2 linked regions of the Drosophila melanogaster genome follow. The protein of the gene in region 1 interacts with the protein of each later gene in a pairwise test. Each region holds a gene or a part of one and is shown in the gene's direction. Other genes may lie near its edges.

What was found. Proteins that work in one complex are often made in the same cells at the same time.
Region 2: the proteins of nord (region 1) and AP-1mu interact in a two-hybrid assay, tested with the Drosophila melanogaster proteins (one large-scale study listed by BioGRID).

What each region holds. Positions count from the first base shown.
Region 1 is NT_033778.4:24,240,478-24,246,462, forward strand, and holds the start of nord (nord), read left to right. Parts: upstream 1-2,777; 5' UTR 2,778-3,066; intron 3,067-4,132; 5' UTR 4,133-4,229; coding exon 4,230-4,537; intron 4,538-5,985. UniProt on the Drosophila melanogaster protein: Secretory protein that acts as a feedback regulator of dpp/BMP, wg and hh signaling pathways.
Region 2 is NT_033777.3:9,557,083-9,563,067, reverse strand, and holds AP-1mu (adaptor protein complex 1, mu subunit), read left to right. Parts: upstream 1-3,542; 5' UTR 3,543-3,818; coding exon 3,819-4,640; intron 4,641-4,699; coding exon 4,700-5,158; 3' UTR 5,159-5,356; downstream 5,357-5,985. Other genes in the region: CG9393 (uncharacterized protein), read left to right, coding at 1-251, 498-893, 1,067-1,141; MBD-like (Methyl-CpG binding domain protein-like), read right to left, coding at 1,656-2,145, 2,455-2,796, 3,037-3,227; BckdhA (branched chain keto acid dehydrogenase E1 subunit alpha), read right to left, coding at 5,632-5,985.

The sequences.
Region 1 (5,985 bases):
TTTATTTTAAACGATTCCTTTACACATGTCGGAGGCTTTCGCCGCCAACGTCGCCAGTCCCCTGCTCCCTTAGCTCCCAGCTCCCAGCTTCCAGCTTCAGTTTCAGCTATATAGTAGTACAGCTCGGCTATAGCTTCTGCCGACGGAGGCATGCCAATCATTTTGCGTTGATGAAGTGCGAGTGTGAGGCAAAAATGTTGTTCCAATAAGTTCAGGCATCGGTGCTGGATGCCAGAATGCCAGGAAGCGAGGATGCCAGGAGGCCAGGAGGCCAGGAGGCGGGAGGCAGTCCGTCAGCATTTCAGTGCCTCAGTTTGGCAGTCGCAAATCGCTGATCGATTGTCGGGGGCAGCGTGTTGACTCTATCGTTGCACAAACGGAGCAGCTGAAGTATTGTGTCAACAGCGAATACACTCAATTTGATTCACGCGGCATTTACTGGCGTGTCAGCAATTTAAAGAAAATCAATCAAAAGTGTGTAGGATATTTGGCCAAACATAGTGGGAAAAAAAGGGGGAGTGAGCAGAAGGCTAAAAGGATTTCAATTCGTGAAAGTACACACAGTTCAATTAAAAGTGGAGAACTGAGTAAACATTTGCAGTAGTCGGAATATTATTATCACGCAAGATTTATAGATTTTTATTGCTATATTTATTGCTATAACCAAATATTATATACTCCCCGAAATTTAAACCCAATTAAGGGCACATTTCCGACCGAAAGGCCCTAAGTTGCTGCCAAATTAACGTTCGATCGCCGTTCGAACAAGGGCCCATTCTGCTCGCAGCAGCTAAGTGACTTGTTCCACCTCTTCGCCAATAATTAATTTGTTGAAAATGCAACGCCGACTCTGGGCCACCATGGGCGTCGTGGAGATGGGGATGGCATGGGGATCGGAGCTGGCGGAGACAGGGGCAGGGAATCCGGACAGAGGCGCACTGACAGGCGGGCAGCGGCCTGCATTATGCATGAGATTGGACCTGGAGCCAGGTGGACGGCGGATGGATGATGGAGGCTGGATGCTGGAGGTTGGTGGTTGGAGAAGGGGCGCCTTCAAGGTTGGCGGTTGTCAACTCGCAATGCTGTGCCCCCTTTCCTTCGGAGTCTCTGTCGCTGCCCCAACTCCTCCACACTGATTAAGTCACTAAAACAGGCGGCTGCTTTTCTAACTAATTTGCTGTTAATTTGTTGCTACGCTACGGCCAGACGCAACTCATTTCCTTCCTGTCACAGGGCAAAAATGCTGTTTTACTTGCCTTTTTCCCTCGCCTTCAGCCGTCAGAATTCCGGGAAAAGCCCCTCTTACACACTCACACTCAGGTGAAGCCAGCCAAATCGCTGGCGCGTCGGCGGGGGAGTGGCGAGGGGCGATGGGGAAAGGGCGGAGCACAGCAAAAACTAATTTGTTTATATCAGCAAAATGCATAATAATGCCAGCGAAAATTTCATAACAATTTCGAGCTGACATTTACGAGGCTTCTGGTTCGCTACCTCTTAAATTACAAAACAAGAGGAGCGGAGTATTCAAAATTGGGTGGGCTTAAAAACAAGTGAACTTCTAAATGTTGGTACTTAATCCAAATGTTTGGCTTGAACTTATAACACATGTGTCCCCTTCTTTGATTCCGCTGCAATTAATGGCTTAATCCCCGAAATGGACTCCACTCAGCCGCAGCCTTGGCTGGTAACCGATACTGCTGCCCCGGTGTGGCCCTAATCACTCGGGGACACATGTAATGCCCGGACCCAGCTGCACATGCACTCGAATCGGCAAACACTCGCCTGTCAAAGCGTTTCCAAAGCATCGCCTCGTCGCATGTTGCATCCACAGCAGCAACCCCAAGCAATCCCCAGCCAAAGCTGCACTCCACTGCACTCCGACGCCTCCGTGCCGCTGCCACTGCCACTGCCACTCGGATCTAATGTTTATCTTCCGTGTTTCGGCCAGCTCCGATTTCTTGCGGGGCACTTTGCATGCGGCTGGCTGGCGGGGATCCCCCCCCCCCTTCCGAGACGCGGCCGAGTGGCGCTCAGGCTTTCCATCGAAAGTCACGTGCGGCACATAAAAATCAACGCACATCAGTCTGCTCCGCCGATTCTGGGCTCTTGTTCTTGTTCTGGTTTTCATTGAAAACGAAATCCGAAAATCAAAATGTTGGCGCGACATAAAACAACACAAGCCATCAATGGGGCAGGCCGAAAGCGAGGGCATTAATTAGGGGAGAGCCAAAGTGTATGTATTGTTTTTCTTATGCTTATTCTTATTCGTATTCTTTTTCCCATACCCGTTAATCGCTGGGTAAAAGGGGTATGCCCCGTTTGGGGTGGAGTTCGTAACATCGGGTGAAATTTTTGAAAACAATAAACTAATAAGAATCAGTTAAGTAGCCATAATTATGCAGCATAGATCCTACTTTCAATCGTGTGAAATTAAAGTTAATCAACATTCATGACGCACACCTTACTTTGTGAACAGCGCTTGTAAGTATGCAGCATCTTTGGCGCCAAGACCGCGTAACGGGTATCCAGAAGTCGGTGCCCAAGTGTACCGTTCCGTCTTGCCGTTTTTCGGCCTTTGTAAGCGTGTGTGTGTGCGTGGGGGCGACTTCGGGCCGTCTTCGGGACTTCGTTGGGGCCTTCTTCGTTCCTTGGGAGCTGCCGCTGCCTCTGCCGCTGCTGGCGTCACCGCCGCCTCAGTCGCTGCCTCGGTCGGCGCTGGCGTCGCAGTCGCTTCCTGCTCTCGACGCTCGGGCTTTTTGGCTTTCTTTGCGCACGACTCTCGGGCATTTTGCGTTTGCACGTCAAGGCAAGCGGACGACGAGGACGAGCGGCGAGATACTGCGGAAACAAGTGGCAGCAAGTGGCAAGAGCTGAACTTCCGCACCCGGGAAACGGTCGCGTGTGCTCCGAGTGGAAATACGGAAATACGGAAAATTCGGAAAATTTGAACGCGTGTTCGCCGAGTCGGGGGAAGCGCCGGCAAGTGCCCGCTGAAGAATCGCAACTATGCGTGCGACCACAAATCAAAATACGAATTTATGAAAAGTGCTCGCTCGCCAGGCAAAAGTAAGAGTGCTCGTGCGTGGGCCATCGGCTAATTGCTCGTGACTCGGCAGCCACAGGTGGTGCTCCTGCCCCGCCACGCCCCCAGCCAAGCCGCCCACCGGCCAATTGTTGCGGCACACGCAGATTCGCAGAAGCGTAATTAAAGAGGGACCCCGGGCGAAAGGTCAGCGGCAGCCGCAATTAGCAAATCTAACAGTTCCGAGAATCGACTCGCTGCAGCCCCATTAATTGGGACCCGAATCTCCAAAGAGCAGAACCGACGCACAGCGAAACTCCCCGTCCCCCAAAAAAAAAAAGTCGCAAGGAAATTCATTTTTATTCTCTGGCCGAAGGAGAAAAGTGGGTGGCTGCTGGGGGATTCTTGGGGGATTTTTGGGGGACAGCAGGCGACGTGTGTCAAAGGTTTGACAGGCCTTAATTGAGCGGAGGACAGAGAATCAGGAGACGAGTCGGGCGGGGGTGGATGCGACTGGGGGGTTGGGGGCGACTCCGGGCGAGGGCCTCGCATCTCGGGATTTTCGGATTTACGGACTTACGGATTAGAAGCGAAACGCAATTTATTTCCCTTCGGGGGAGACGGAGAATTAAAAGTCGAGCAGAAACACAATATTTTGTATCTCAGCGCATTTGCGATGCTTTCATTGAAAGGAAAATTGCGAGGGAAAATCAAACTACAGACTTTAAACTTTTCAACGTAATTAGGAGTGGTAGAGATGTTGGGAGTATTATTCGTATAGTTCTACAAAGCAAGTGGATTAACATTAGCAAAGTTTAAAACTGCGAAACTTACTAAGAATAAGGAATGTTTGCTTTTTTAAACAGGAACTCGAGTTGATAAATTATCAAGCAGAAAAAGCAGAATTGCGTGAAAAGTTTTCGATTCAATTTAATCATATTAAGTCAACTATTCTGTACATTTTGGCCACCAATTAAAATTTGCCTCTAGTTCAATTAATAAAAATGCGACAACAAGAAATTAATCCAATTTGCCGACCATTGAAAACATAGTTATAGAGTGTTCCAATCAAAAAGCAATTAATTTAACAAAATTTGCAAATCAATTTAGCCGCAGAACACGCACTCAGAGGTTGTTTCACCTAGTCAAAACCCAAACTTCAATAAAAGAACCAAACAAGTGAAAAATAAATATACAAAGTGAACTAATGCAAAGGAGCACCATGTTGCCAGGAGTGGAGCTGCTGCTGCTGTTCCTGCTGAGCACGTCGCTGCACGCGGAGATCTCCCACTTGCCGATGGCCAGCAACCGCATCATTCTGGACTCCACGGAGCTGCTCCAGAACCCGCTGATCCAGGACGCCGGTGTGCCAGCGGCCAGGGCGACGCCACTTCCACCGCAAAAGTGTCCTTCGCTGCAGCGGTACCGCAAGATGCTAAAGGACTTCGACGACCTGGAGGACCTCTACGTGGACGTGCCCGTGCATATAGCTCTGGCGGAGCGGCAGAGGAAGCGGTGAGTGCGGTATTTGGCTTGTGCTTTCTGGGTTTCCGATGATGGGTAGCAATACGGCTAAGTGCGCTGGCGACGCCGCCTGCCACACAAATCAAATTACGGCCAAACAAATGCGAAAGATGGCCAGAGGAGCCAAACTCAGGGGCGCCTCTCCAAGACGAAGCAAAGCCAGCAAAGGCTGGAGCAGGAGCAAAAAATAATTTATAACCACGACGTGTGGCTGGCCAAACAAAAAACATCCACAGCCAGATTTTCTACGCTCCTGCTTAAGTGTGTGTGCATGTGTGTGTGTTCTCCTCTTATTTGTCTAGTGTGCGAGTTTTGTTGTCCTTCCAGCTGCCGCCACAAATCGCACTGTGGGGTCAGGCGGGGATTCTAGTGAAACCTCTTGATTAAGTGTGCCACTTTAATCAATGATGGGATCCTATCATCTATAACTCCATCTTAATAATATTATTTAAGCGAGAGGCTACTTCTAAGAACATCCGGATTTCCAGTAAAAGTTCCCTTAGTTCGTTAAATTGCTTTCAAAAATTTATAAATTCGATTATCCGGTGTTTCTGTGGCACTCCATGTATAGATTTTCGCCAGCCACTTTAAAGTTTCTGCCAACACACCAAAGTTCGCACACTTCCCTCTGCCCCACTGTTCGCACTGCGTTACACGTGGCGTATGAGTAACGTTCTTTTTTGCGATTTTCATTGGTTTCCGATGGGCCGCAGCTTGGGCCTGGGTCAAAAGAGGCCCGTCACGTTTTCGCTTAGGCTCTGGCTGGACTCCGGGATTTCAGTTTTCATCTTCTCCAGTGAACGTGCACCCAGTGCGCTTGGCTTTTTCCCGTTTTTGCGAAGCGGGGAAACTGGAAGCCCTCGGCTCGTATAACACTCGATCATTTGCCACAGAATGCCAGCAAACATTCAAATTAATGTCGTGGCTTGTCGTCAACTTCTTTTCGGTTCGCTTCTAGAGTTTTTTTCTCCGCATTTCCCCCCTCATGTATGGAGTGTGTACTGGGCATCGGTGTCGCGCGACCCGGCGAGAGTGCTCCAATTGCCCAAGTGCAGCTCGAGTGACCAGGCAGCGGGAATCTGGAGATTCGAGATCGGAGATGCGGCACTCGAGATCCGAGATCCGAGAGCCCAGATCCATCGCTAGAATCAGAGTACGTGACGTTCGGCTCGAGTTGCCCGGTTTGCTGAGCGTGTGAAAGGAACTAGTTGGCACTGTTGCTAAAGAGTCGAAGCTTTGGCAAGAATCGCGTTTATGGCGCGTGCAACCATTAAGCGTTTTGCTAGAATCAGCAGGCCATGCCTATACCCATTTCCATACCCATACCCATACCAATTCCCATTCCCACTTCCATTCCCGATTCCCATTCCCAGTGGCCCCGTGCGTATCCTTCCACGCCATGCCGCCAATCAAGGGGAGGACGCATTATACTTTTGCGC
Region 2 (5,985 bases), on another chromosome or scaffold:
CTAAACAAAAGCATTTGTCCACCGCCTACGCCAACTGGGTGTTCACCAATCTGCATGCCTACTACCACTACTTCCTGTTTGGAGAGCCTCACAATTTTGACACAACCACGCGGGGCCTCTACGCCAAGCGCACGCCATTCCCCTTCAACTTCTACTACCCGTCGTCCTACCAAAGGGAAGCCTGCGACGTGGTTCAGGTGATGGCCGGTTTCGATGTGAACGACAAGTTGGACAAGCACGAAGGCGACTACGTGAGTGCTTTCAATTTCATATTGTCTCATATTACATTATTGTATCTTTAAATCCGAGGATTTTTTAATTTGTTTATCTAACCTATGTTTTACACCCAAGCTGCATTTCGATTGGAAACGTTTCATCAGTTTATATTAATAAGAAACAGTTTCTCATGTATTGGTCTTTTGTTATCAATATATCTTATCAATGTTGTGAAAAGCAAGACGTTTCTTTAACTATCAATTAATCATTTTACTTTACAGCTCGTTGTCAATGCCAAAAAAGTGGTGAACCTGCTCTCCCGGAAATTGGGTCGCAAGGTGTGGTTCTTTGGCGACACCTACAGCGAGTTTGATGCCATTGTCTACAGCTATCTTGCCATCATCTTTAAGATCGCACTGCCTAACAATCCACTGCAGAATCACATTAAGGGCTGCCAAAACCTAGTGAACTTTATCAACCGCATCACGAAGGACATATTCCGCATCGAGGGATACAGTTCCGTCAAGCTCACAAAGACACCCAGTGGCACGGAGGCCAGTCTGACGGCCTCGGAGCGCAAGTTCCTAGACTCCGAGCTGAACACCAAAATAGTAGCCGGCGTGGGAGCCGTCTTGGCCATGGGAGCGTTTGCGGCATGGCGTGGGATTTACAACCAGGTGGGTATTTTTGGCTGAAATTTGTAGTTCTTTACTCTTGACTTGATGGAGCTTATTCGATAGTTCTGGTTCAATGTCTTCTGTTGGCTCCAGACACTCTTGTAGACAGCCTCAGCTTGAGCACGTGCAAAATTCTCAGTTAATTGCAAATTCCGATTGATTCATCCTTGCAGCTAACGACACGCTCTTCGACGGACTACGATGGCATAGATTACGAGGATGACGAGATGGAGGAGGGCCTAGACTAATCGCATCTCTGCAACGATATCTATGTGTATAGTATATATATTTTAAAATACAATGTGGGGATGAAGCACAAAAACTGTCCAGCTTTAAAGGTTTACCTAAACACTGAAGGAGATCGATTTACTTGGCCATAAATCTTTGGACCGAAAATTTCGTCAGGTAATGATCCCCTCGTCGTAGATAACGCTTCGTTCCAAGGATTTGCCAAACAAATCGACTAAGTATGAAAATTCGGTTTATGTATTATAGTTCGAATTCGTTTTTAAACTGTCTTGTATAAAATAGCATTTTAAAGTCATCTGAGCGTAATAAAATTGGATAACAGAGCCCTGTTGTCATGGAAAAGACAAGCGAAGCTTTCTCGATGTCCAATAAGAAACCAGAATTCCTCGATTGGAGTTGGATTTGGTTTATTACACACTAGTCTTAAATGTAGATTTCGAATAGGGGTCAATACGATAGAGATGTTAGAGCCTACAATGGAATTGGTAGATGCATGGGGGTTAACCATTGAACTCATGTCTTGAGTGCATCCTGCAGCTTTCGCCGCGCAACTCCGACCCGATCCTCCTGTTTGCGTATGTCGTCCTCCGAAATGATCACCGCGTGCATTAGCGGTTGTTCAGGATTCATAAACGCCATGGCATTCTTGGTCAAATCAGCCTTCGTAGAACTCTGGCCGTGTACGCCGGCGTTGAGCATATGCAGGGCCGTGGCCACCGACTGGAGGACGGTCTGTTCGTTGACATTGGGGCCAACGGTGCGTATGGTCTTGGGCAGTGAGATGTCGTCTAGCTCCTCGCCACTGTCGTGGCAGGCGCGTAGTCGTTCCAGTCGCTTCTCCCAGAACAGCTGTTTCGGCTTCTCCCGAGTGCCATGCTTGGGTTCATTCTTCGCTTTGGCGGGATCCTGTTTATGGTTGCGAATCACCGTCACCGGTTGCTTGAAGATCGAGGCAGTCTGTCGAATGGGAGGCACCAGGGAGACATCAGTGCGCAGGGCTCGGCTGTAAGGGATTAAAGATTGGAAATGTATTAGAGAAACGCCTTCAAAAAGCTAAAACACCGAACAGCACATTAGACAAAGCGTAAAGTAAAGCTTTAGCATGCAGAGATGGTGGAACATAAATCTCAGGTGGCACAGAGCTACAGCGTTTTTGAAGACAACTACGAATTGTTTTGCCAATTGTGTGTTTCTTTGGGTATTTTTTCATTTGATGCTTTTTAATTGCCGCAGGCTGTAGACCTTGCGTCCTGGCAAACAAGACATGACACGCTGACATGCAAGAGTCAAGTGCTCATCCACTTGGCTCTACCTGAGTTCGATCTGTTGCTGCTGGCGATTGGCCGTTGATGGTGAAGCAGATGCTGCTGTCGCTGTTGCTGCTGACGAGGCGGTCGCTGCCGGAGGAGCAGCTCCTGCTGCTCCTGCAGCATTGCCTCCTTGACTCCGGGCGAACTTGCGCTTGAGGGCATTGGCCGCCGATCCGCTGGTGGCCCCATTACCGCCCCCGCTTGCTATAGGCAGCGGCATGGCGCTGCAGCGGTACAGCGAAATGGAGGGCGAGGGCAGGGCGCAGTGCGGCATTTTGCCAGGCTGGAAATCAGGGATTGCAATGTCCTGTGGCTTTCCCTCCGCCCTTTTTCCTGTGGGACTGCTGAACAGACACGGCGGTGGATGGATATTTTTGGTGGGTTAGGTGGTAGTTCGTGTGCGTGTGTATACATAGGCGTATGCGTGTGTGTGGTGTATATGGTGTGTGTGTGTGTGGTTATGCGGATGTAATAACAGAAAGGTAGTGAAAGTGATTATAAACGTTTATCCGATTAAACAGCGTGCAGTGTTCCGATTTTAGGTATATAGTAGTCTATATAGTAATTCTGCTCTTCTTCTTTACCTGTAGTAGAAAACATCCACCTTGTTATTGTTGTTGTTGCTGCTGGCTGTGGCACTGCTGTTGTTGTTGCTGCTGGCGTTGTTATTGGCGCTGCTGCCGGACTTTCGGACCTCGTCGCGCTGCCATCCCTTTGGCAGGACACTGCAGTCGACGCGTTTGCGCTCGATTGTGACGCTCGGGTTCATTTGCATGCTCGCCGAAATAAATAATTAACAATTCCACAAAAGCAGCGTCTGGGCTAGCAGTGTGGCCGTACTGCGGATGGCCACAAATGCCGGATGGCACAATAGTGATGCTAGATTACATTCTCCAATATATTTATGATTTGAATTTAAAGGTACCAATGGGAAAATGAAAATAATTTAAAAGGTATTTATTTAAAAACAGAAACCTTAAGATGTTACACCTTGCACATTTTTCATTTCCTTTAAGCTTAATTCGCTAGTTAATCAGCAGTAGACCAATCTCACCTGGCCACACTGCCCAACACCTGATGTGAACATTTCACAGCACTGGTGGGCCAACTAATAAGAAAAAGAAGCAGCAGAAAAGGCGACGTAAGAAATTCCGGAGTTTTCATTCGCATTTTCCAGTCTACGAAACGGAATATGTAAATCCAGCCCATTGATAGACCTAGCCCACTCATCGCCACCTCGCGACAGTTGCCAACTTCCACGCGCAACGCCTGCCGCGAGCAGTAGAACCATCGAAGCGACCTCCCACTCGATCCAATTGGGAATTTTACACCTGGGACAAGTGGCAGCTGCTGGGAACCAAGAGACATGTCTTCGTCGGCCATTTTCGTTCTGGACGTGAAGGGCAAGGTGCTGATATCGCGGAACTACCGCGGTGACAACATCGACATGGCCGTGATCGACAAATTCATGCCATTGCTGATGGAGCGCGAGGAGGAGGGCCTAATCACTCCGATCCTTCAGACGGCGGAGACTACATTTGCCTACATCAAAACGAACAATCTTTATATCGTATCCACGACGCCGCGCAATAAGAACGTTAATATCGCTCTGGTCTTCGTCTTTCTGCACAAGATCGCGCAGGTCTTTGTGGAATACTTCAAGGAGCTGGAGGAGGAGTCCATTCGGGACAATTTCGTGATCATCTACGAGCTGCTGGATGAATTGCTCGACTTTGGCTACCCGCAGACCACCGACTCGAAAATTCTACAGGAATACATTACGCAGGAGGGTCATAAGCTGGAGCTACAGCCCCGCATCCCGGTGGCCGTGACCAATGCAGTATCCTGGCGGTCCGAGGGCATTAAGTATCGCAAGAACGAGGTGTTCCTGGACGTTATCGAGTCGGTGAATCTTCTCGCAAACGCCAATGGCAATGTGCTGCGCAGCGAGATCGTGGGCGCCATTAAGATGCGCGTCTACTTGTCGGGAATGCCAGAGCTGCGACTGGGTCTCAACGACAAGGTTCTGTTCGAGAGCACGGGCCGCGGCAAGTCAAAGTCCGTAGAGCTGGAGGACGTCAAGTTCCACCAGTGCGTGCGGTTGTCACGCTTCGAGAATGACCGGACAATCTCGTTCATTCCTCCGGACGGCGAGTTCGAACTGATGTCCTATCGTCTGAACACGCATGTGAGTATTTTTATGTACTTAGCACCAAAATGCAAGACTAACTAAACCCCTGTTGACAGGTCAAACCCCTGATTTGGATCGAATCAGTGATCGAGCGGCATGCCCACTCCCGTGTGGAGTACATGATTAAGGCGAAGTCTCAGTTCAAGCGAAGATCGACGGCCAACAACGTGGAAATCGTCATACCAGTGCCCGCCGACGCGGACTCACCCAAGTTCAAGACCACCATTGGAAGCTGCAAGTACGCACCGGAGCAGAACGCAATCATCTGGACGATCAAATCGTTCCCGGGTGGCAAGGAGTATCTAATGCGGGCACATTTCGGTCTGCCGAGCGTGGAAAGCGAGGACAATACGGAGGGCAAGCCGCCAATTCAGGTGCGCTTCGAGATTCCCTACTTTACCACGTCGGGCATCCAGGTGCGCTATCTGAAGATCATCGAGAAGAGCGGCTATCAGGCGCTGCCATGGGTGCGGTACATCACGCAGAACGGCGACTATCAGCTACGCACCAATTGAAAGGGGCAACTCCCGTTCCTGCATCATTCCAGCCAAGCTTCAGCGAGTCATCCTGCAACAGGTAGCTTCATCTCCACCCGCGTTTTTGTCTGCGATGCGTTGCGTTAAGTCAAAAGTATATATTTGTATTCGTATTGTTTCAGTATATGTATATTGTATGTAAATCAAATTTAATAAATTTTAACACCTTTTCATAACACCTGCACCAGAGTGGGTCACTTTGTATGTGCAAATTAAGACCTAGGATGCAACCAAGTTTATCCTCTTCGTTGGTCAGAGAAAACCCAAAAACCCAAAGTGTCTAATTTCACATATCCACCGACCCACCTGTACAGATGAGTCATAACAAACGGGTTGAACCCACAAAAAACTGTTTGCCTATTGCTTAATCATAATAAATGCACTTTCGATCGAGTCTCTCGGTTCGTTTTGATTTCTGATTTGTTAGCATCTTTATGGCACCTATCTGGAATCTATTTCTCAAAGTCCTTCAAGGGATAGTGCTCCTTGTGGGCCTCGATATGTTTTTCCAGCTCGCTACGCTGCTCAATCAAATGATCCGGCATCTCCGCGTAGACGCCTTCGAACATCTCACGCCAGTTGGGCTTGAGTTTCTTCTCGGACACTGCGATCTGCTTCAAAACCTTTTTCCTTATGTCCTTGACATATTCGTTTTCGACAGTCTCGTCAAACCAGCCTTTGTGCACCATGTAGCGCTTAAGCTTGGATATTGGGTGCTCCACCGAGTTCCAAATCTCGATCTCCTCCGCTGGTCGGTAGGCTGTACTATCATCTGAGGTGGAATGGTGACCCACTCGATAGGCCAG